Linked DNA regions of Saccharomyces cerevisiae S288C. The protein of the gene in region 1 purifies or fractionates together with the protein of each later gene. This does not show direct contact. Each region holds a gene or a part of one and is shown on either strand. Other genes may lie near its edges.

What was found.
Region 2: the proteins of UTP8 (region 1) and KRE33 purify together in Saccharomyces cerevisiae (affinity purification with mass spectrometry; 3 studies listed by BioGRID). This does not show direct contact.
Region 3: the proteins of UTP8 (region 1) and PWP2 purify together in Saccharomyces cerevisiae (affinity purification with mass spectrometry; 7 studies listed by BioGRID). This does not show direct contact.
Region 4: the proteins of UTP8 (region 1) and NOP14 purify together in Saccharomyces cerevisiae (affinity purification with mass spectrometry; 4 studies listed by BioGRID). This does not show direct contact.

The regions. Positions count from the first base shown.
Region 1 is NC_001139.9:747,407-752,039, forward strand, and holds UTP8 (Utp8p), read right to left. Parts: upstream 2,686-4,633; coding exon 544-2,685; downstream 1-543. Other genes in the region: YGR127W (uncharacterized protein), read left to right, coding at 1-330; SYF2 (Syf2p), read left to right, coding at 2,994-3,641; YGR130C (uncharacterized protein), read right to left, coding at 3,988-4,633. UniProt on the Saccharomyces cerevisiae protein: Involved in nucleolar processing of pre-18S ribosomal RNA. Also has a role in nuclear tRNA export. It acts between the steps of tRNA maturation/aminoacylation and its subsequent translocation out of the nucleus.
Region 2 is NC_001146.8:373,338-378,991, reverse strand, and holds KRE33 (ribosome biosynthesis protein KRE33), read right to left. Parts: upstream 3,672-5,654; coding exon 501-3,671; downstream 1-500. Other genes in the region: TOM22 (Tom22p), read right to left, coding at 1-225; FYV6 (Fyv6p), read left to right, coding at 4,300-4,821; YNL134C (uncharacterized protein), read left to right, coding at 5,411-5,654. UniProt on the Saccharomyces cerevisiae protein: RNA cytidine acetyltransferase with specificity toward both 18S rRNA and tRNAs. Catalyzes the formation of N(4)-acetylcytidine (ac4C) at positions 1280 and 1773 in 18S rRNA.
Region 3 is NC_001135.5:219,927-225,112, forward strand, and holds PWP2 (snoRNA-binding rRNA-processing protein PWP2), read right to left. Parts: upstream 3,303-5,186; coding exon 531-3,302; downstream 1-530. Other genes in the region: CTR86 (Ctr86p), read right to left, coding at 1-141; YIH1 (Yih1p), read right to left, coding at 3,528-4,304; TAH1 (Tah1p), read left to right, coding at 4,473-4,808. UniProt on the Saccharomyces cerevisiae protein: Required for bud-site selection and cell separation. Also involved in nucleolar processing of pre-18S ribosomal RNA.
Region 4 is NC_001136.10:187,647-192,311, forward strand, and holds NOP14 (snoRNA-binding rRNA-processing protein NOP14), read right to left. Parts: upstream 2,941-4,665; coding exon 508-2,940; downstream 1-507. Other genes in the region: autophagy protein ATG9, read left to right, coding at 1-272; proteasome regulatory particle lid subunit RPN5, read left to right, coding at 3,278-4,615. UniProt on the Saccharomyces cerevisiae protein: Involved in nucleolar processing of pre-18S ribosomal RNA. Has a role in the nuclear export of 40S pre-ribosomal subunit to the cytoplasm.

The DNA.
Region 1 (4,633 bases):
AAAATAATATCAAGTTGCTTTCAACTCGCCTCGAAGTCTTCCCTTCCAAGCACTATTTCAAACCCAGATGTCTTGCAGATGGTAGATCCAAATGTAACCATGAATACCATATACGTACCACCTTTACGGAGGCCTCCCAGGGATGACTTAGGTGCCTCAATTCCTGATGGTGATTACTACGGAACTCGCTCTCAAATAGTTTTACTCGTGAGTAAGGATTCAACGAGAGTTACCTTTATAGAAAGGGTCCTTTATAGCTCAGATGAAGACGTGCGCAAGTATTCGGTAACCTCACCTAAGGAGGAAAAAAGGTTTAAATTCAAATTGTAAAAATCACAATCTTCCATTTTATTTCAAACTAGCTTTAAATTCCATCTTCTTCCCCTCAGAACATTCCGGTATCTCTTGTTGGACACATCTAATGTATATGATGTTTTCAAATTCTAAATGCCTGTTAGTTTATCAGTAACCACAGTAGACGCTATATATATTAGTTCCTTTTCTATATAGGTATTATACAATACAATCAAATTCATTGCATACTCAAATGTCCAAGTATTCCATGGTGTAAGTGGGTAAGGCTCGCTTCTGAGAAGTTCCGTTATCAAAGGTTGAGCTAGCAAACCCATGCTGAAAACCTTTCGTATCAATCAAATTCCACAATTCGGTATTTCTTTCAGCAATCTCAACTTGTTTGTCAATATATAAGGTTAAGTTCTCCAATAGAGCACCTTCTAATGAAAATAGCCCGATAGAATCTAGCACAAGGGACAAGAGTTGAAATAGCTGCGTGCTTTGGCTAGGGTTGAAGCATTCTGGTGAGCTGTCTTCACCACCGCTTGTTATGAACTCAATGAAATTTTGAACGTCTAATTTACTTAGTTTCTTCATTTCTTGTTTAATAGAGTCTCTGGTGAAATCCTGCAAAATCCTAAATGAGATATCAAGTAATAGTTCCCTGTTTCTGATAGAAAACAATTCTTCAAGTAGTTCATTTAATGGCAAGTTTGGGCATGTTACAATTGCTTGTTTAAATAATCTAGGTTGGTCTCTTAGTAAGGATAGCAAGTTGCGTGTACGACTCAATGGAAACAATGGGTGTGTCAATAAAAACGTTAAAGTTTTTGGATAATCATTTCCGCTAAACTTTCCGAAAATTAGATCTAAAACTTTATTCAAAAAGCCAGGATCAGAAATATATCTATCTTTTTCAGTATAATGTTCTTCTTTGATTTTTAGTTCTTTGAAAAATATGTCATCAAATGATGTAATGTCATTATCTTGAAGGGCTGAAAGCTTTTCAATAACTTCATTACAGTGGAGGACTGGAACGCTTGAATCCCCGCTGACGTCGTTACATTTCACTCTCTTGTCATTTATGTCTTTATCATCAAATAGCGGCTTTAAAATAACTGAGCTATCATTATTTCCAACTTGAAAACTCTTGCCTAATGAGTCCTTCAACGTATTAGTTCCAACATCAATATTAATTATTTCTAAGGAAGACGTTGGGTTTGGTCCATTTTTCGTTGAAATACCAATTGCTATTGTTTTTGAATTATGCGACTTTTCTGAATTGATCACTGCAGATTTTAATAGTTGGAATGTTTTCACGTGAGTTAATTCTCTTTGGCTTAAAGTAGAACAATGCAGTAAGTCTAGTAGATAAATGACGTTGTTTACGGTCAGTAGAACTCTGTTTACTGAAACAGGTTGGAAAGAGATTAAGTCATCTCCAGGACTGAGTTTATCCACCATCGGAAATTCAATAACTTGTTGCAATTGGCAATGTGGTAAAGAGTAAATGTATATTTTCCCCTGGTTCAATTTGTAAAGTTTTCCAAATTGATAACAAAGCTTTGAATTTTCAAAAGAAAATCCTTCGATGATAGTAGATGATAATTCTTTTATGGGCGAACTTTCTCCACTGCCACAATCTGTTAGCTCGAGCAATTTATAGCAGACTTTATCATCCTGTAATGGACAGAGAACAAAAACATATTCAGTTCCATTTTCAGTGAACCATTTAGCATATTTTAAGTTATCATAAGATATATCAAATGAATGCAAAAGTGTTAACTTAAAATCAAAAATTTCAATCAACCCGTTCTGTAAAATTGCAATTACTAAGCTGTTCTTGGTGTCAATTTTAATACTCATGACTTTGGCTTTCGCCTTGATCTTATACTGAGATAAAAATTCGTCTGAACCCGTGTATGCTTTATTGTCAATATCACTCTCACTCAGATGGTCATTTGAGGTATCAGTGGTATCTTCCAGTGCCTTAGTGATAACATTTAGCGTATAATTACCCTTATTTACCATTAAACCAAAGGCCCAAATTTCAACATTTCTTTTTTTTTGGGTGTTGATAGTCTTCTCGTTGTTGGCTTCATCATCGGTACTGGCTTCTATATTTCCGTCAATGTTCGCTTGACCTTTCTCAGCATTGCATGCCGTGATAATATTTGTAGAGGGTATTGGGTAATCGAATGTTAACTTTGGTGTAGGATTAATAATATATTGAGATATAGATGACCCGGAAATACCTAACGTTATGTTATTTGTAGATTCATTAAAGGTGCCATCTGCGACTTGAACGTAATCTGCTTGTAAAGAAAAATTGCTCAATGAAGCAATTTTTGGGAGAGTTGCTAGTCTAAATGGTTGAGACAGGGATGGCATTTTGAATCTTTACTATCCTCCGGAATGATTTGCTGTTCAAGGAGCGCTAGGTGTGACATATAATATTACAAATTTAACAGTGACCTCATCTCATCAAAGTTTTCAAATTTTTCAGGCATCTGCTACAGCATAATGAAAAAATTTGAAAAATACAGACATTTCCGTGTAGAATGACAAAAAAGCTAGAATATTACTATATTTTCCTTAAAAGAGCAATATTTGCGATGAGGGGCTCTCAATGACAATGTTTGACTTCTCTATTGAACTGTAAGCGAAGCAAAACCATATCTTGTCAAAGTATTCGAAGAATGGATTTTTACAAATTAGACGAGAAGCTGAAGGAGTTGAAAAGGAAAAGAGTAGATGTATCTATAAAGAGTAGGAAGTTGGCTGACAGAGAGATTCAGGAAGTAAGCGCAAATCGAAAACCAAGAGTATACAGTATGGAAGACGTAAATGATGCAGATGAATCAGTAGGAGATACAGAAAGTCCTGAAAAAGAGAAAGCATTTCATTACACTGTCCAAGAATATGATGCGTGGGAACGTAGGCATCCTCAAGGGAAGACTGGGCAAAGCCAAAGAGGTGGAATTTCCTATGATCAACTTGCAAAATTGAGTTATGAGAAGACCTTGCGGAATCTCGCTACGCAAACACAGAATTCGAGCAAACAGGATAGTTCCGCCGATGAAGAAGACAATAAAAACGTACCCAAGAAGGGTAGAATCGGCAAGGTACAGAAGGACACTAAGACGGGTAAGATAACAATTGCAGATGACGACAAGCTAGTTAATAAGTTGGCCGTTTCTTTGCAATCTGAGTCGAAAAAAAGATACGAAGCAAGAAAAAGACAAATGCAAAATGCAAAAACACTGTATGGGGTTGAAAGCTTCATTAATGACAAAAATAAACAATTCAATGAAAAATTGAGCAGGGAATCAAAAGGATCAGAATAAGCTTCTCTTTTATTTAGAATATACCGATATAACCAAAGGAAAGTTTTAATACCCTGGATTTTTCATCGACCGTCACGTGACGAGCTGAGGTTAAATGCCCGCAAAAGTGCTTCAGAAGAGAGTCCATCTTACTCGGTTATTTGAGCACGAAACACTAGAGAATAACTAACTGGTTGATAAATTGTTGATTGAGTAAATATTGGTACATAAAACGGTTACAAAGAGAGGTAGATTAGGAAGGGTGAAAATAATCAAAGGATAACTTGATGATACTCGACAAAGAATAGAAGAGAAAAATAAAATAGAGGTGGGATATTCCTTGAACAAAAGTGGAATATTATTTTTTTTAGGCATACATGACGTCTTCCTCAGTATGATATTCATACAAGGAATCGTCCTTTGGAAGGACGCTCGTATTCTTTTGTGAACGGTCATTTGGTATTTTGTGGTTTTCAGCCGCGTGTATACCTTCAGCTTGTTTGTGCTGCCTACTCAATATTTCTTGCTTCAAGGCCTCATCAGCGTTTTTCTGGCGAGTTTGTTCCTCGATAGCCTTTTCAGCTTGTAATCGCGTTCTTTCCCTCTTGACTGCCTCCAGTTCTTTCTCTTCGGTTGCCAGCTTATCCTGTAGTTCAGTCAATTGGTCATTATAGGTTTGCTTGACTTGAGTAATTTGCTGCTCATGATCTAATTGAGCCTGATGCGCTTGTTCCTCCAGCTCTTGGCGCTGTTTTTCCAATAAGTTCTCTTCTTTGCGTTTTCTTTCTTCAGCTTCTAGCTTCAACTGTTCTTCATGAGCGCGGCGCTCATCTTCGAGTCTTTTGGTAATTGCCGATAGTTGAGTTTTTTCATTGGCGTTTTCCTGCTTGATTATGGTCACTTCGTTCAATAAGCTTGATATTTGATTATCAATATCATTAATTTGTGGAAGATATTCCTTGTTCTCTACACTTTCCAAAACTTGTACATTTTTTTCATGCAGCTTCTTATTT
Region 2 (5,654 bases), on another chromosome or scaffold:
TTGTCTCTTACCTGGGGGGACAATGTCTTTTAAAGCAACGATTCTGTCCAACAATGTTTCATTTTCATCAAATTCATCTTCAAAATCACTATCAGAGTCATCTTCATCATCGACAACGTCGTTGTTTGTTGCAGAAGCCTTTTCTTCCACGATGGCCTGATTTCTGGAAAATTGTGGTTCGTCTAATTGAACGACATCGTCTTTAATTTCAGTTAATTCGACCATTTGAATGATGCTTATTTTGGGGTATATAGTTCCGTTTTGACCTCTTTGGTTACTTCGTATTACTCCAAAAGTTACTCACTACGGAGTGGAGTATGTTGATTGAAATTGTCTAAAACGGGTTCAGTTTTCGCCGGCATAATCGTAATACTTATATCGCTCGACACGATTGAAAGGAATATGTAAAGGTTCAAACATCAACTATGTTTCTATTCTATATTATTGTACAAATTAAGTAAACGTTTAGCTATAAAAGGGTTTGACAAAGAGTAGAACGCTTAATTTGCAGCCTTTTTAGACTTTCTTGGTTTTTTCATAGCTTTCATCTCTTGTCTATAGATATCTTCAGCCTTTTCAGTCGTTCTCTTTTTACCAGTTTTTAAACTGACGACGCCTTTGGCCTTGGCAGCTATTTCTAAAGATTTTTGAGATTCAGCCCATTCCTCACTGTTATCATTTATGGCGTATTTATCTAAGTTCAAGGAGTTGATTAGCTCTTTTTGTTTTTCCCTCATCGCCTGAACGGCTTCAGAACCGGCTTCTTCTAAATCTTCTTCCATTTGGTCCAGTGCTTCTGCAGCGTTGTAATTTTTGATTTCTTCACCATCCATTTCAGCAATAGCATCATCTTTGATATTTGGTAGAGTTTCTTCAATTGATTGGCTTAACAGCTGACGGAAGTACTGAGACATTTTTCTCATGATCTTCGCAAACATAGCAATAGTTTGATTGGAAGGTAAATTCAATTCCTTGGCAATAGTGTCGATGTTTTTACGCTGTAACCCTATAGCCAACAGGATAGCACTCTGGACGCTTGATAGTTTTACTGAATCTCCCATTTTATCGCCGAAGTACAAAAGAGCAAGCATGGGTATCATATCACCGATAACGTGATAATCTAGCAAATTATTTGAGTAGCTATCCAATCTTTTCAAGTCAAATGGAGAAAAAATGTCATCCAGATGCGTCCGCGTCAATTCTTTATTATCATGCTTTTCGTCATCAGACAAATCTTGTGCTTTCTTACTACTTTCAATGACACTTAAGGCTTGAACGGCAGTAAACTTATGAAAATCATAAGAAAGAAGCGACAGAAATCTTTTACGGAAATCTTTGGCAAATTCAACGAGCCAGTTTGATTCTCTGCCTTCCAAAACGTTCAACATAACACAAGTATGTTCACCAGTTAAATCGTTTGCGGTTTGACGTAAATAAACAGGAACAAAGCTGTTATTCTTCCAGAATTTATGCAACGATTGCGTTAAACCATATGAAACACCCAAATAATGTAGATAATGAGGAGGCTGTTCAGAAAGTTTTAATAGTAGAGGTGGCAACGTTTTTGCGTCTCTTAATTTAACGTCATCCTTTAATAAATTAGTTTTGGCCAGTTCCTTATCGCTCACCCTCTTTATAGAATAATCCTTAGGACGAACATCTTCAGACATGTCAGTGAATTTACCCTCGAAATAGTCTCTCAGTAATTCAATTGCACGAGAACCATAGCCCATGGATGCGTATTCAGGATTAGTGGCAATTCTGACGATACGAGCACCACTCAAACTAGCGAATTCCTCGTCTTGGAATTGTTGAGAGATCAGCCATGGGATTAAATCACCACCAGCTCTTTGGCCTCTCGATAATGAATTTCTGACACTCTCCTTACTGATTTCACCTTCCAATGCAATTTGAATGACACATAGAGGGTCAGGGATCCTGCCGCCATCCTTTGGATCAATTGGTGGTAAAAGAACAAATAGTTTGTGCGCTGGGGCGTCACTCATCAGTTGTAAGTCGTTTGGAGAATTCTTGTAATGGGATGAAACGTACAGTGCCATCATTTTTTCCAGGAAATTTTCTGAGACAGGATGATAAGAAAATAGAGTATCTCTATTGACAACAAATAGATTACATTGGGATGGGTGAGGAGTTCCTCTTGTTGCAAATCTTGGGTTTTTAATTAAAGTAACATCTAAACATAAGAGCTTGTTTAACCATTTTTCAATTGGGTCACCAGGAGCATATCTGATTGGTTCGTCCAAGGAAATTTCACGTAATTGACGGGATTGAGAATGTAAGTGAGAGTCTTTTTCCTTATTATCTCTCGAAACAACGGCGGTTTGAGTACTTTCCCGACCGGATGTGTTGTTTTGATTACGCAATTGCTGAATTAACTTCAGAGATAAAGATCTACCCGTACCTTCGTAACCATTGATAGTGGATGCCATGAAGACTAGATATGGGCCCAGCAAGTTCTTGACGATTGGCAAAGGAATAGCTGCAGCTTCATCAATGACAACTAATTCAGCTTGGCCCAGAACTTGATGGTCTTGAGGAACAATATATTGAATCGTTTGTCTGTGATCTCTTTTAATATCAACTCTCACAATGGCTTTGTTGAAGTCGGGGTTCGTAGATTGAATGATATCATAATCAATGTGTTCTTGGTAACCTAAGGCATCGAATCCTTTGAAAATAAACTCAAATAGAGTCTTTAAATTTTCGGGAGATGGAGAAGTAACAAAAATATTAGAATACCCGTGAGAAACGGCCGCGGCAATAGAAATACCTAAAGCAGCAGACTTACCTCTACCTCTTCCAGCTGTTAGTGCAACTGTGAAATTCAAAGTTTTTTCCGAAATGGCATCAATGAAAGAAAGAATAGCGTGGGCTTGATTGACAGTTTTGGATAGAGAAACCAATGAACCAGCTGGTTGGACATCTTCTAAGGATTCTTTTAATTCTTGCAACTCTAATTGCTTTGGAGGCAATTCGTCATCTTCCTTAGGAGGTAGTGGTTTCACGTTTTTGGCACCAGATAGCGGTAGAACATTTAATTCATCATCAACGACTAAACAGTTTGGATTTGAACCTAAAGAAAGTATGAATCTTTCGTTAAATCTTGCAACAACGTCACCATGAGCCTCAGTACGATAACGGGCGTGAACATCCATAGTCATGGTGTACAGTTGCTTTAACGATGACATTGATTTCAATAAAATAACCACAATACCACCACCTTCTACAGTTTCAATGGTTCTTGCTAAAAGATTTGGGGTTAATGCCTCGAAGTCCTGAAGAATACACATACCATAGGTATTACCCAATATTTTCTCACTCTCTTTGTAGTATACATATCTGATATTTTGGTTAGAGATAAAAGATTCAAAAGGGTCCATTTCATTCACTTCCCTTGTACCTCTTTTAATTTCTTTCTTAATTTTATTCTCTCTTTTTTTTCTGTGCGAAGTGAATCCTAGAAGCTTCTTCTTATAAGCCCATAAGACGGACTTGTTCATCTTAAGGTCAGCACTCATCATCAAATAATGTAAATTTGGGAGCTGGTTACGTGCCCTGTCCCCAACGATGACAAATATGGACCTTTGTTTGGTTTGAACACCATTCCTGATCAGTGACGGGATTCTTGAATCGATAGCTTTTTTGGCCATTTTCTCCTTGTTTTATAAGTCTCTTATAAGTCTTTGCAAGTTAAAAACTAAGAAATATAAAAGGTGACTTGGCTTATATACTCTATTGCGTACTTTATTTGAGATAAATACAGAATCTCCATGCATCTTCAGCACCTCATCTCATCTCATTGTATCTTGGCTCTTCATTTTTTTTTTTCAAAATTTTTCACACGATTCCGGGTAAACTATTACTTTTTACAACTAATTCAGATATACCTGGGAAGTTACAATGGAAAACATGCAATGTTCGGTCTGGCTTGTATCATTTGATTGGAAAAGCGAGCATCGGTTGATACTGAACACATCCACATGCGTAATCATTAAAAAAAATTTTTCAAATTGCGAACTCTGTGGATCGAACACAGGACCTCCAGATGACTTGACCGAAGTTTTTCTTCAGTCTGGCGCTCTCCCAACTGAGCTAAGTCCGCTTATTTTTCTGAAACCTTTTCCGCCTTTTTGTCGTCCCTAGGAATTACTTTTGATGCACTGCCAATCTGAGGGAAAAATGACGTTTAAACGCACGAGAATGTGCAATTAGATGTAAGTCCATCGAAGCCTAGAGAAAGCGGTTCCAACAAAAGACTGTGGGCTCTGTTATATCATCATGTCATCTACCAGTGATAATAATGCTAATAGTGCAAGAGAGAAAAAACCACTGAAATTCGTGTCAGAAGGAGTTGGTAATGTAGAGGCCCAGAGGATACGAGAGCAAGTGGAGCAAAAAAAATATGAAGCGGAATATAAAAGGAAAACCAGGAAGTCCCTGCGAGATCAGCTTAGGTCTAATGCTATTAGTAAACAAAAACAATATAACGGTTTGGTGAGAGACCGTGAAAGTTTTACTAGGTTGAGTAAAGAGGACCTGGAATTTTACCAGAAGAGCAAGAATGAGTTGCTAAAAAAGGAAAAAGAACTGAATAACTACTTAGACGTCAAGGCAATCAATTTTGAAAAGAAAAAAAAAGCATTACTAATGGAGAACGATTCTACTACTAATACAGAAAAATATTTAGAGACCGGCACTAGTTTGGGCAGTAAAACACAAATAAAGGGCGTAAAGACATCCAGCCCTAAACCAAAAATCAAGGTATCCATAAAAAAATTGGGTAGAAAACTGGAGAACTGATGTGATGGCCTACACACTTCGTCACAACTAGAGCTTTATGCCAAGATTAAACTTCAAGTTATATAAATTATGTAAACATTGGACATACAAAACTCGGAAACTCTTTTTCTATTCATCTTCCCTTCTCGTACGTGCCCACGGAAGCAATAAAAAGAACCGAAATAACCAACACCCGTAACGTCAAAGCATTCATGCTTAGAATGGAAACCATTTCGTGGAATGAAATGGCAAATTGATCACATTGATTGCTCGTTCCACTACCTGTGTCCGCAATTTTTTAATGGTCATCACAGCCCCTGCTGACTAAAGTTCCTCGGATCCGCTTACGGTTGTCGCGCGGTTCCGCCCCTGCGTACTCTTAGTACCTAGCATATGGGCTCCCTCCGTTGGATTGGCATCGATTAGTAAGGACAGATGTTAAGGATTTAAGACCGTTTTTAAGGTATTTCGGCAATGCTTCGATTTAAAAGGAGAGAGTTTTTTTTTTGCCGTTTTCTTCCTCTCACTTCTTGATTAGTACTGTAATTCTAGTTGAAAAAAAATCGTTAACTATACACAGCAAAAAGCAATATCATACTGCATATCAAGCATGTCCGCCTCGATTCCAGAAACCATGAAAGCCGTTGTCATTGAAAATGGCAAGGCTGTAGTCAAACAGGACATTCCAATTCCTGAATTAGAAGAAGGATTTGTTCTAATTAAGACTGTCGCCGTTGCCGGTAACCCTACCGATTGGAAACATATTGATTTCAAGATTGGTCCTCAAGGTGCCCTCTTAGGCTGTGATGCAGCCGGCCAAATCGTAAAGTTGGGCCCAAATGTTGATGCTGCAC
Region 3 (5,186 bases), on another chromosome or scaffold:
ATCATTAAACGTCCTTTGAAATATACGGTTCAGGTTTTCGACGATTGGCTCATAATCCTCGACGCAACATGGGTCGTTCTTCATCATGGTAATGATTGAATCAAATAAATTGAATTCATCTAGAAAATTGTTCATAGGCATTGTTATTTAGTTATCTTCTTTTTTGATGAATCAATAATTTTATAAGGCTTAGTGTAATTGTTCTCCCGATGATAGTATGAAACGGTAGTCGATAAATTTGTGTCAAATTTTTTCCTCATCCCATCAATTCTTCATTTTTTCCCTTCCTATTTTTTTTTTTACTGAAGCGATGATGCCTTATATATAAGGAAAATAGCCTCGTCAGTCAAAGGACGACTCCCGTAATGGTAGCCTCAGTTTATATTAGGCGCTCTCATCATGATGTATATCGATATTGGCGATGATATTTTTTTTTGTTGATATTAAATACAAATGTAATGCTTTATATAGTTCTATACTTGGGGAATACATGATGTGAATGTGCATAAATAGAGGACAGTGAATATTTTTCAAGGAAGCTCTTTCTCATTTTCTTCTTCATCACTGGAATCATTTTCATTAGACAAGGGTAATTTGTTATCCTTCCCATTGAAACCAATCCATCCTTCCTCGTCGTCAGATTCCATGACTACATCGTTCTCTTCGTTCTCTTCGTTATCTTCATCTGCGTCATCTTTTAATAGAACCTCGTCATCATCAGCCGCGCCATCTTCCATGGACCCATCAGTTGATACCAAAAATCTATAGGTGTATTTGTTATCAGTAGTGGTATTGACTACTTCCTTAGCCACTCTAACAATAAATCTTTGTATCGACCTCATAGCCGTCGAGAAGAGATATTTGTGTTCATTTATGTAACCACCGCTCGCAGATAATAGAGCTTTGATCCAAATTAGGTTAAACTCAATGTGTTGGGATTCAATGGCAAAATCACCGATGAACTTCAGAATCCTCGGTAAATATATTGCAGGAATATTACTTGCAACCAAGGGGATTTCCTTAATAGGTATGGCTTCATAGACTTTATTGATCAAATATTCTTCATTTAACCTGAACGCCATTACTAATGCATTTAAAAACTGCTTTTCTCGTAGCGCCTCTACAGTAGAATGGGGGGTGACGTCCACATCCAGATCAAAGGGATCAAATAATATCGTGTCATTGGTGGAATATATCAATAAACCTTCCGTTGAAGCAGCGGCAAATGCATTCGCCGTTGGGGAGAATTGCACCGAAGTAACTCTAACCTCTGGTCTCATTTTTCTTGTGGACAGGTCGCCACCTCTTTGAGACCCTGGTAAAGAATTATCAATACGATCCTCCAAATCTGAATTTTCGCCTGCATCGTCAATCAAATCTAATGAACCTGCTTCAGTCATTTTCTTACTGTTTAAAAATTCGAGAGTACCATTCAAAGCCATGTTTCTGGACACAATGAATCTTTTTAACAAGACTTCATTTGGAACATCATATAGACAAATGGAGTTATTATTACCACCAGCCACAATAGCCATACCATCAAAACTGTAATGTATTGTAGTAAAAAATTTGGATCGTTCAGAATTTTTGGCAGTGAACCTATCTTGATTAAACCTACCAGATATTATATCCTTTCTACAGTCAATGTTGCCCACCTGCTTGGCATCTTCTATGTTGAAAATGGATATTTGACCCTTTAAGGTAGATACTGCAACTTCTTTACCATCTGGTCTCATTGATAAGGCTAAAACATCGGAATAAACTTCTATAGGTTCTACTTGTTGGCTTCTACCAAATATGGACCAGATTCTAATTGTTTTATCCCATGATGCAGAAGCTAAGACACTGTTCTCTTGACTAAATGAAAGACACGAAACAGGGCCTTCATGTCCGGACAAAGCATCTAATAATTGACCAGTTTGCACGGACCAAACATGAATGTCAAAATTGTCCAGGGACCCGGCACAAACCACTTCACCTGATGGATCCACCGCTAAACAATTGAATTGGATTCTTTCAGTACCAGTGAATGTTCTAAAATTACGATACCTGATTAAGTCCCACGCTCTCACCGTACCATCTAACGATGATGAGAACATGACCTGACCCCTTTTCGCAAACTGTACAGCAGTAACTGAAGAGGTGTGTTCTTCAAAAGTGGCCAAACAAAACCCTGATGTAATGTCCCAAACTTTGATTTTCCCATCTTCGGATGCTGTCACTACACGTGAACCATCCGGAGAGTATGCAAGACTATTTGTGGAATCGAAATGGCCCTGCTGCTTCAAGATATACGATTCCGATTGCCATTCGTAAACTAGTAATTGGCCCAGTTTGCTGGAACCAAACGCCAGCCATTCGCCGGTTTGGTTGACGCTAACGGTGTTGACTGGGTTTTGCCCCATAGAAAGCTGTTGAATCAAAGTGAAATCAGGCAAATCGTAAAGACGGAATTCCCCACTAGTAAATCCGACAGCTAAAAGCCTTGTTGCTGGATGGAAGGTGACACACTTTACTTTGGCTTGGTTTGCGTAAAAAAAATGTTTCTTTGTGATTCTCCAGCTGTATTTCGAAATATCTACTTCTTCTTGCTTGTCGTCGTCTTCACTTTCATTGTCGTCGTCATCGGATGGCCTCTTGGTAAATTCCCAGACAAAGACAGCACCGTCTTTGCTTACAGTGTAGATTTTTTCCTGATCATGACTGAAGAACGCACCCATAACGTAGTCTCTGTGCCCATTAAATGTTGTCGCCGCAAGGTTCTTTTCCTCTGAATCTACGGACCATATTTTTGCGCTTAAGTCTTTGGAAGTCGTAAGGATAAATCTGGAATCTTGTGACCACGTCAAAGACGTTATGTCTTGAAAGTGTCCCGCATGCACCCTATGGCGGACGAAGGGAGCAAACTGTCTGTCTTTATTAACATCTGGAGTCTTCCAAATCTGTAAAAACCTGCCTGAGGCTAATGCAAAGAGTCTCCCATCAGGGCTGAACTTCACAGCGGAGCATTTTTCTTTGAAGTTGAAATGGTGAAGCACGTTACGGGCTTTGAAATTGACAAGGATGGCGCGACCGTCCTCGTCAATAGAAATCAGCAATGTGCCTTGTTTGTTCAGATCAATGGCAGCAATATTTTTGCGATGCTCGTATTCAAACGTGAACGATTTGTTGTTGATTAAGTCAAACACGCTGACCCTATTCCCCACCGGTGAGAGTAGTTGCTTGCCATCATCGGAAAAGGTGATGTTACCTTGCCTGTAGACCGTACCTAAAAGGTTAGAGAACTTGAAATCGGATTTCATTGGGATGCGGTTCAATCTGCGGTCTGCTCTCCTGTCTACCTGTTGAAAACGATACTATTATTACTATTATTGATATTATACTAGTTATTGTACATACCTAGAACTATACTCGAAACTTTTTTTTTTTTCATCTTTCAGCTCATCGCAAAATTTTTCCAAAAAATTTCAAAAAGAACTCCCGTCGCATGTGATCAAGGTTACAGGTGCTTGACATAATCATAATGATTACGAGTCGAAGCCGGCCCTGACAACAGCTTCTCTTGCCGTAGAATTGATGTGTTTAAACCGGTCGGGACCTATGTGGGCACCGCCGAACCAACGGGCCACCACAACGATGACGTTCCACACATCCATGATGGTGATGAGGTGCAGCATTCTGGAGCCGGCGGCCGTTTCACCGTCATCATCGGAATCTTGATATGTTGCCGCAGAGCCATCCTGCTTGATTCGCCATGCACTCATGACATGGTTTGCCTTACGCATCTTGGAGTCGGTCTTCAGTAGGTCTAGCATGGCAAACGCTTGTTCCTCGGAGGTAACATGTGCTGCAAAGGCCATGAAAGTCGAGCCTCTATCAGTAATGGGGTCCGACGCGGTCCAGCCCTCGAAGGGGTCTGTGGGAATGTCACTCTGCTGGACCGGTTCTGTCTCCTCCTCTGGTTCAACGTACAAGACACCGTCGAGTTCTGTGAGGAAGTCAAATAGACAGACAGATCCGCGGTGGAAAACAGAGTCCATCACTTCCTGGAACAAATGCTGAAGGTACTTGGTATCGTAGAGATCGCGCTTAGCCAAAGAAGTGCAGACACCAACTTCGATGACATTAGGAGCCTCCTCGGAGGGGTAGTGTGTCGGGAAGGAGATCTGCAGTGTCATGTATTCATGCTGCGGCACTTTCACAACGATGATGCTTCCGTCTTCCTGCTTCTTGGAGAGAAGATCCGGATAGATGGCCTCGACGGCCTCCAGTTCTTCGACCAACTGTTCGTGATCGTCATCCATTGAGCTTTTCTTTCCTCTCTCTTTTTTTTTTCTTGTTACATATTCCTATATATATGTATATATATCTATATATATATATATCCCAGCGTATATGACTGCACAAGACGCAATTTTCTTGAACGGTTTTTTCTTTTCAGCACTGCGAAAGAGAGAGCAACGGTAAAGAGCATGAGCCAATTTGAAAAGCAGAAGGAACAGGGCAATTCTTTGTTCAAACAGGGCCTGTATCGCGAGGCTGTGCACTGTTATGACCAACTAATTACTGCTCAACCGCAGAACCCGGTCGGGTACAGCAACAAAGCCATGGCGCTGATCAAACTGGGTGAATATACACAGGCTATTCAAATGTGCCAGCAAGGACTGCGGTACACCTCAACGGCAGAGCATGTAGCTATCAGATCCAAATTGCAATATCGTCTAGAGCTGGCACAGGGAGCGGTAGGTTCAGTACAGATCCCTGTTGTAGAGGTTGATGAACTACCGGAGGGATACGACCGGTCCTGAGAAAAGAGAAAGGGAACACTTCTAATTTATCTTTAAAATTATATATATATATATATATATATGTGTGTTTGTATACTCTGTGGGTATTTCCGTGTATATGGTTAATAATAGTAGTATCTTGTCAGTTTTTTTTATGTTTTTCTTCGCGCGTCAACTTTCTACCAAGAGAAAAACAATATAAGGTCTCCTTACTCTATAGGAGAATAAAACAAACAAAAATAAAAAGCACATCGTAGCGCCAAGAAAATACTGCAAATACCAAATACCACAATAATACTACAATTATCTATACACAAGTGTTTTGCCGCTTAAAACTTCGATTTTCATAGTACGAAACTATACACCCTTGGTTTTTCTCTTTTCTAAATACATATCTAC
Region 4 (4,665 bases), on another chromosome or scaffold:
CCGGCAAGAACTGGGATAACAATAATAATGGTGATGACATTAAGAACGGGACCAATAATGCTACAGCTAAAAATGATGACAATAATGGCAATAATGATCATGAATACGTACTAACAGAGTCTTTCCTTGATTCGGGCGCATTCCCTAATCATGATGTAATAGACCATAATAAAATGCTAAACTCAAATTACAATGGTAATGGCATACTCAATAAGGGTGGTGTCTTAGGACTTGTTAAAGAGTATTACAAGAAGTCTGACGTCGGAAGATAAGGCAGACTGTGTCGTGTACATCATCCAATATAACTATATATATAACTGTTTCCTTTCTTTTTCGTATTTACCTAAATGCATATATTATTCAGTTCCCACTAATTTTGTACTACAATAATAAGAGAATCCCTTCCCTGTTTTAGAAATGAGTAGTTCTTTTCTTTTTCATAAATAATACAGTTGTCTCTGAGAAGCCTAATAAGAAAAAAAGAGGTTAATAAATTATTATTATTGGTTATTTCTTTCCGCCACGTAGTTTTCTTTCTCTTTCATACTTGTTTTTTTCCGCACCTTCTTCGGTATTAATAGTGTTAACAATATGAGCCATCTTTGCATGGTAGTCGCTGCTCTCCTTGTTCTTTTCTTCAATTCTTTGTCTAGCTTCAAATTTGGCGTCTTTACGGATTTCTTTCATAGTGAATTTACGTTCCTTCTTTAGTTGGGCCTTCATCTTATTTATCTCACTTCTTGTTCTATCAGGATCGTACGATTTTTTATCAGGATTGAAGTTTTCTTCGTATTTAGGAGCATGCGTAGGTATGGATACGGGTTTGTGGTTCTGTAAAGCCAACGGAATATGTTCTGTGAATTTCGTTAATTTTTCAACTTTGTTCAAAATATTTCTTGGCTTTTCAAAATCAGAATACTTTGAGGTGTATGCACTTAATAACTGCTGAATCGGTAAAATAATTTCATTGAAAGCAGGTAAGCTCTTCCACACAGTAGAGATAGTTGCATCTAAAGATTCCATAACATTTAGTAAAACGGAGACACATTGATCAACCGGATGTGCCTCGGTATCCATTGTTGACAAGGTATGTAATGGAATAATAGTTGATCTCTTTTTTGTAAAGTCAACGTCCAATGGAAGCCCCAACTCGTAAGAGTCTAGTCTAATATTTTCAAAATCTAATGGTTTTTCTTGATTTTCTTTCTCAACTATAAAAGTGAGTAATATTTTTTGAAAGAAGTAAACCACCTCCGGTATGTACCGTTTGGAAATGCGTTGATATTGTGAAACAATCCTTACCAAGACAGCGCCAAAAGCTATCCTCTTTAAAGAATTAAACTTGATTTGTTCCAGGAACTGGCTCATTAAAATCAATGCTGGAGTTATTACTAAATGGTACTGGTCCGAGGTGGAGAAAAGAATACCAATAATGGAAAAAAATACCAGATCACCATTTGATAGAGCATCAAAATGGTTCTTTTTATAGCGTGCTTGCATTTCATTGATATAATCTCTACACTCCTCGGAAAGCTCTCTATTATATTTCTCTGAAAGGGATTTTAGAATTGAGATCAATGCATTTTGTGTACGTTTAAAACTTTGAACGTTTTTAAGGTAGTTTTGATTGCTTAGAAAAATGATGTGTCTCAGTAAAACAGCGGTGAATTTTCCTAACTTTTCCTTATTACCTTCAGCCAATTTTGGTTGGTAAGCTTTGATAATATTCTTAACAATCTTAGGATGATCATCTAAGTCTAATTTTTTTACTTGATCTAATAACGCATCATGAGTTCTAGGGCATGAAATGGAAATGTTCTTTTTCTTTAAAATTTGAGAAAACCCTTCATCTCTGCCTTGATCTTCAAATTTGATATCATCATCAGAATCAGCAATACCGTCATTATCGTCTTCATAGTCTTCTTCATTTTCCCAGAATCCATCATCCAAATCCTCTACTCCTCTTTCTTCGCCTTCTTCTAATTCAATCATACCGTTCATACGATCAAGACGCTGTTGTTCCAACTCCCGTTTTTTTTCTTCAGCTTCAGCGTTTTTCTCCTCTTCAGTTTTAGTTCTATCAGAGGGTGCAGCTCTTTTGTCCAATTGTAGTTCTTTCACTTTGATATCATACTCCTTATCTAGATCGGTCTTAGGTTCCATTGGATTCTTCTTGGGTTGCGTCATCATCAATTCAGACATAACATCCTCGAAATTATCATCCAGATTATCTATTTGATCTTCCATTATACCTTGAGCCTTTTGTCTTTCTTGTTTGTAAAATTTTGATTTGGCAATGACCTCTTTCATGACTTCAGCTTTGGTTTTTTTTCTTTGAGGTTGCTGTAGCTCAGCATCATCTTCATTGAATCGTTTGGAAGCTAAAAAATCCTCTTCATCATTGGCAAGCTCATCTTCTAGGGACAGCGATTGACCTAAATGTGTAAGACCGTCTCCAAACATGTCACCGTCGTCTTCATCGTCTTCAAGATTGAATAAATTTGCGTTTCTCTTTGATTGGCTTTGTCTTTCTCTGGTGAAACGTTCCAACATTTTTTCTTCTTCCGTCAACAACTTGTCTCTTTCACCAAATCTCTTATCGATCACACCACCACGTTTATTCTTCATCATTTTTCTTGCTTCAAATGCACGCTTTCTTTGTTCTTCACCGATCTGTTTAGAGATACCAGGCTTACCCACAGCAATACGATCAGCAGTTTTAGAAGGCAGACCATCTCTCCTCTTATTCCTTGCAGCCTTTATTTCAAACGGATTAAACTCTTCTCTGATTTCAGCAATGGCCTTTTTTTTTTCTTCACGATCATACTCCTTCGCTTGTCTTTTGGAATTCTTTTTATTCTTACTTTTGACGTTTGTTTGACCTGTGAGTCCACGGGCCTTCAAGGCGGCCTTTAAATTCTTAAGTTGTGAACCGGCCATGTATTTGATCTTCCCTTTTATTTGCTTCTCAACTGTACTATTTACAGTAATAATTAGTGCAACCTTCAGATGCTTCTCGCTAAATGCTCATCTCTAAATTATCATTATTATTCCTAATAAATCCTAAAATTTTTCACTCGTTCTGTACGGCTCATCGCCCCAATATTACCCGTCTTGTATGTGATCTTTTTGACTTTTCGGTGGCAAAATGCAAAGGGGAATCCAAGGAAAAACCATAACAGGACACTACATCAGAGATAATCTTGAATTAAGAGAGTAGAGGAATATACTGCTGGGCTCACTACCATTTTTGTTGCTAGAGTAAACGTAGAGAAAGATGTCAAGAGATGCACCAATTAAGGCTGACAAGGATTATAGCCAAATTTTGAAGGAAGAGTTTCCTAAGATCGATTCGCTCGCTCAAAATGATTGTAACTCTGCTTTAGACCAACTGTTAGTGTTGGAGAAGAAAACCAGACAAGCTTCAGATCTGGCCTCCTCGAAAGAAGTTTTGGCCAAGATTGTAGATCTGCTAGCATCAAGGAATAAGTGGGACGACCTAAATGAGCAATTGACTCTACTCTCAAAAAAGCATGGTCAGTTGAAATTGTCAATTCAGTATATGATACAAAAGGTTATGGAATATTTGAAAAGCTCGAAATCTTTGGATTTAAACACCAGAATTAGTGTCATTGAAACTATCAGGGTGGTTACAGAGAACAAAATATTTGTAGAAGTGGAAAGAGCTAGGGTCACCAAAGATTTGGTGGAAATTAAGAAAGAAGAGGGTAAGATTGATGAAGCTGCAGACATCTTGTGTGAGTTACAGGTTGAGACCTATGGCTCCATGGAAATGTCTGAGAAAATTCAGTTTATATTAGAGCAAATGGAATTGAGTATATTAAAAGGTGATTATTCCCAAGCCACGGTGCTTTCAAGAAAAATTCTGAAAAAAACTTTTAAAAATCCAAAATACGAGTCATTGAAGCTAGAATATTATAATCTTCTGGTAAAAATTAGTTTGCACAAGAGAGAATACCTAGAAGTTGCGCAGTATCTGCAAGAAATTTATCAAACAGACGCCATTAAATCAGATGAGGCTAAGTGGAAACCTGTTTTATCGCACATTGTATATTTCTTAGTCCTTTCACCTTACGGCAATTTACAAAATGATTTAATTCACAAAATCCAGAATGATAACAACCTGAAAAAATTAGAAAGCCAAGAATCTTTAGTAAAATTGTTTACTACGAATGAGTTGATGAGATGGCCAATTGTTCAAAAAACCTATGAGCCCGTCTTAAATGAGGATGATTTGGCATTTGGTGGAGAAGCTAATAAGCATCACTGGGAAGATTTACAAAAAAGGGTCATCGAGCACAATTTAAGAGTCATTTCCGAATACTATTCCAGAATTACTTTACTAAGATTGAATGAATTGCTGGACCTAACGGAGAGCCAGACGGAAACATACATCAGTGATTTGGTAAACCAGGGCATCATATACGCTAAAGTTAATCGCCCAGCCAAAATCGTGAATTTTGAAAAACCAAAAAACTCAAGCCAATTATTGAACGAATGGTCACATAATGTTGACGAACTATTAGAACATATAGAAACAATAGGCCATTTAATTACAAAAGAGGAAATCATGCACGGTTTGCAAGCTAAATGAAGAGATTTTCGAGTAAGTGTCGGATTATCTCAGATCCGGTTTTGATTTTA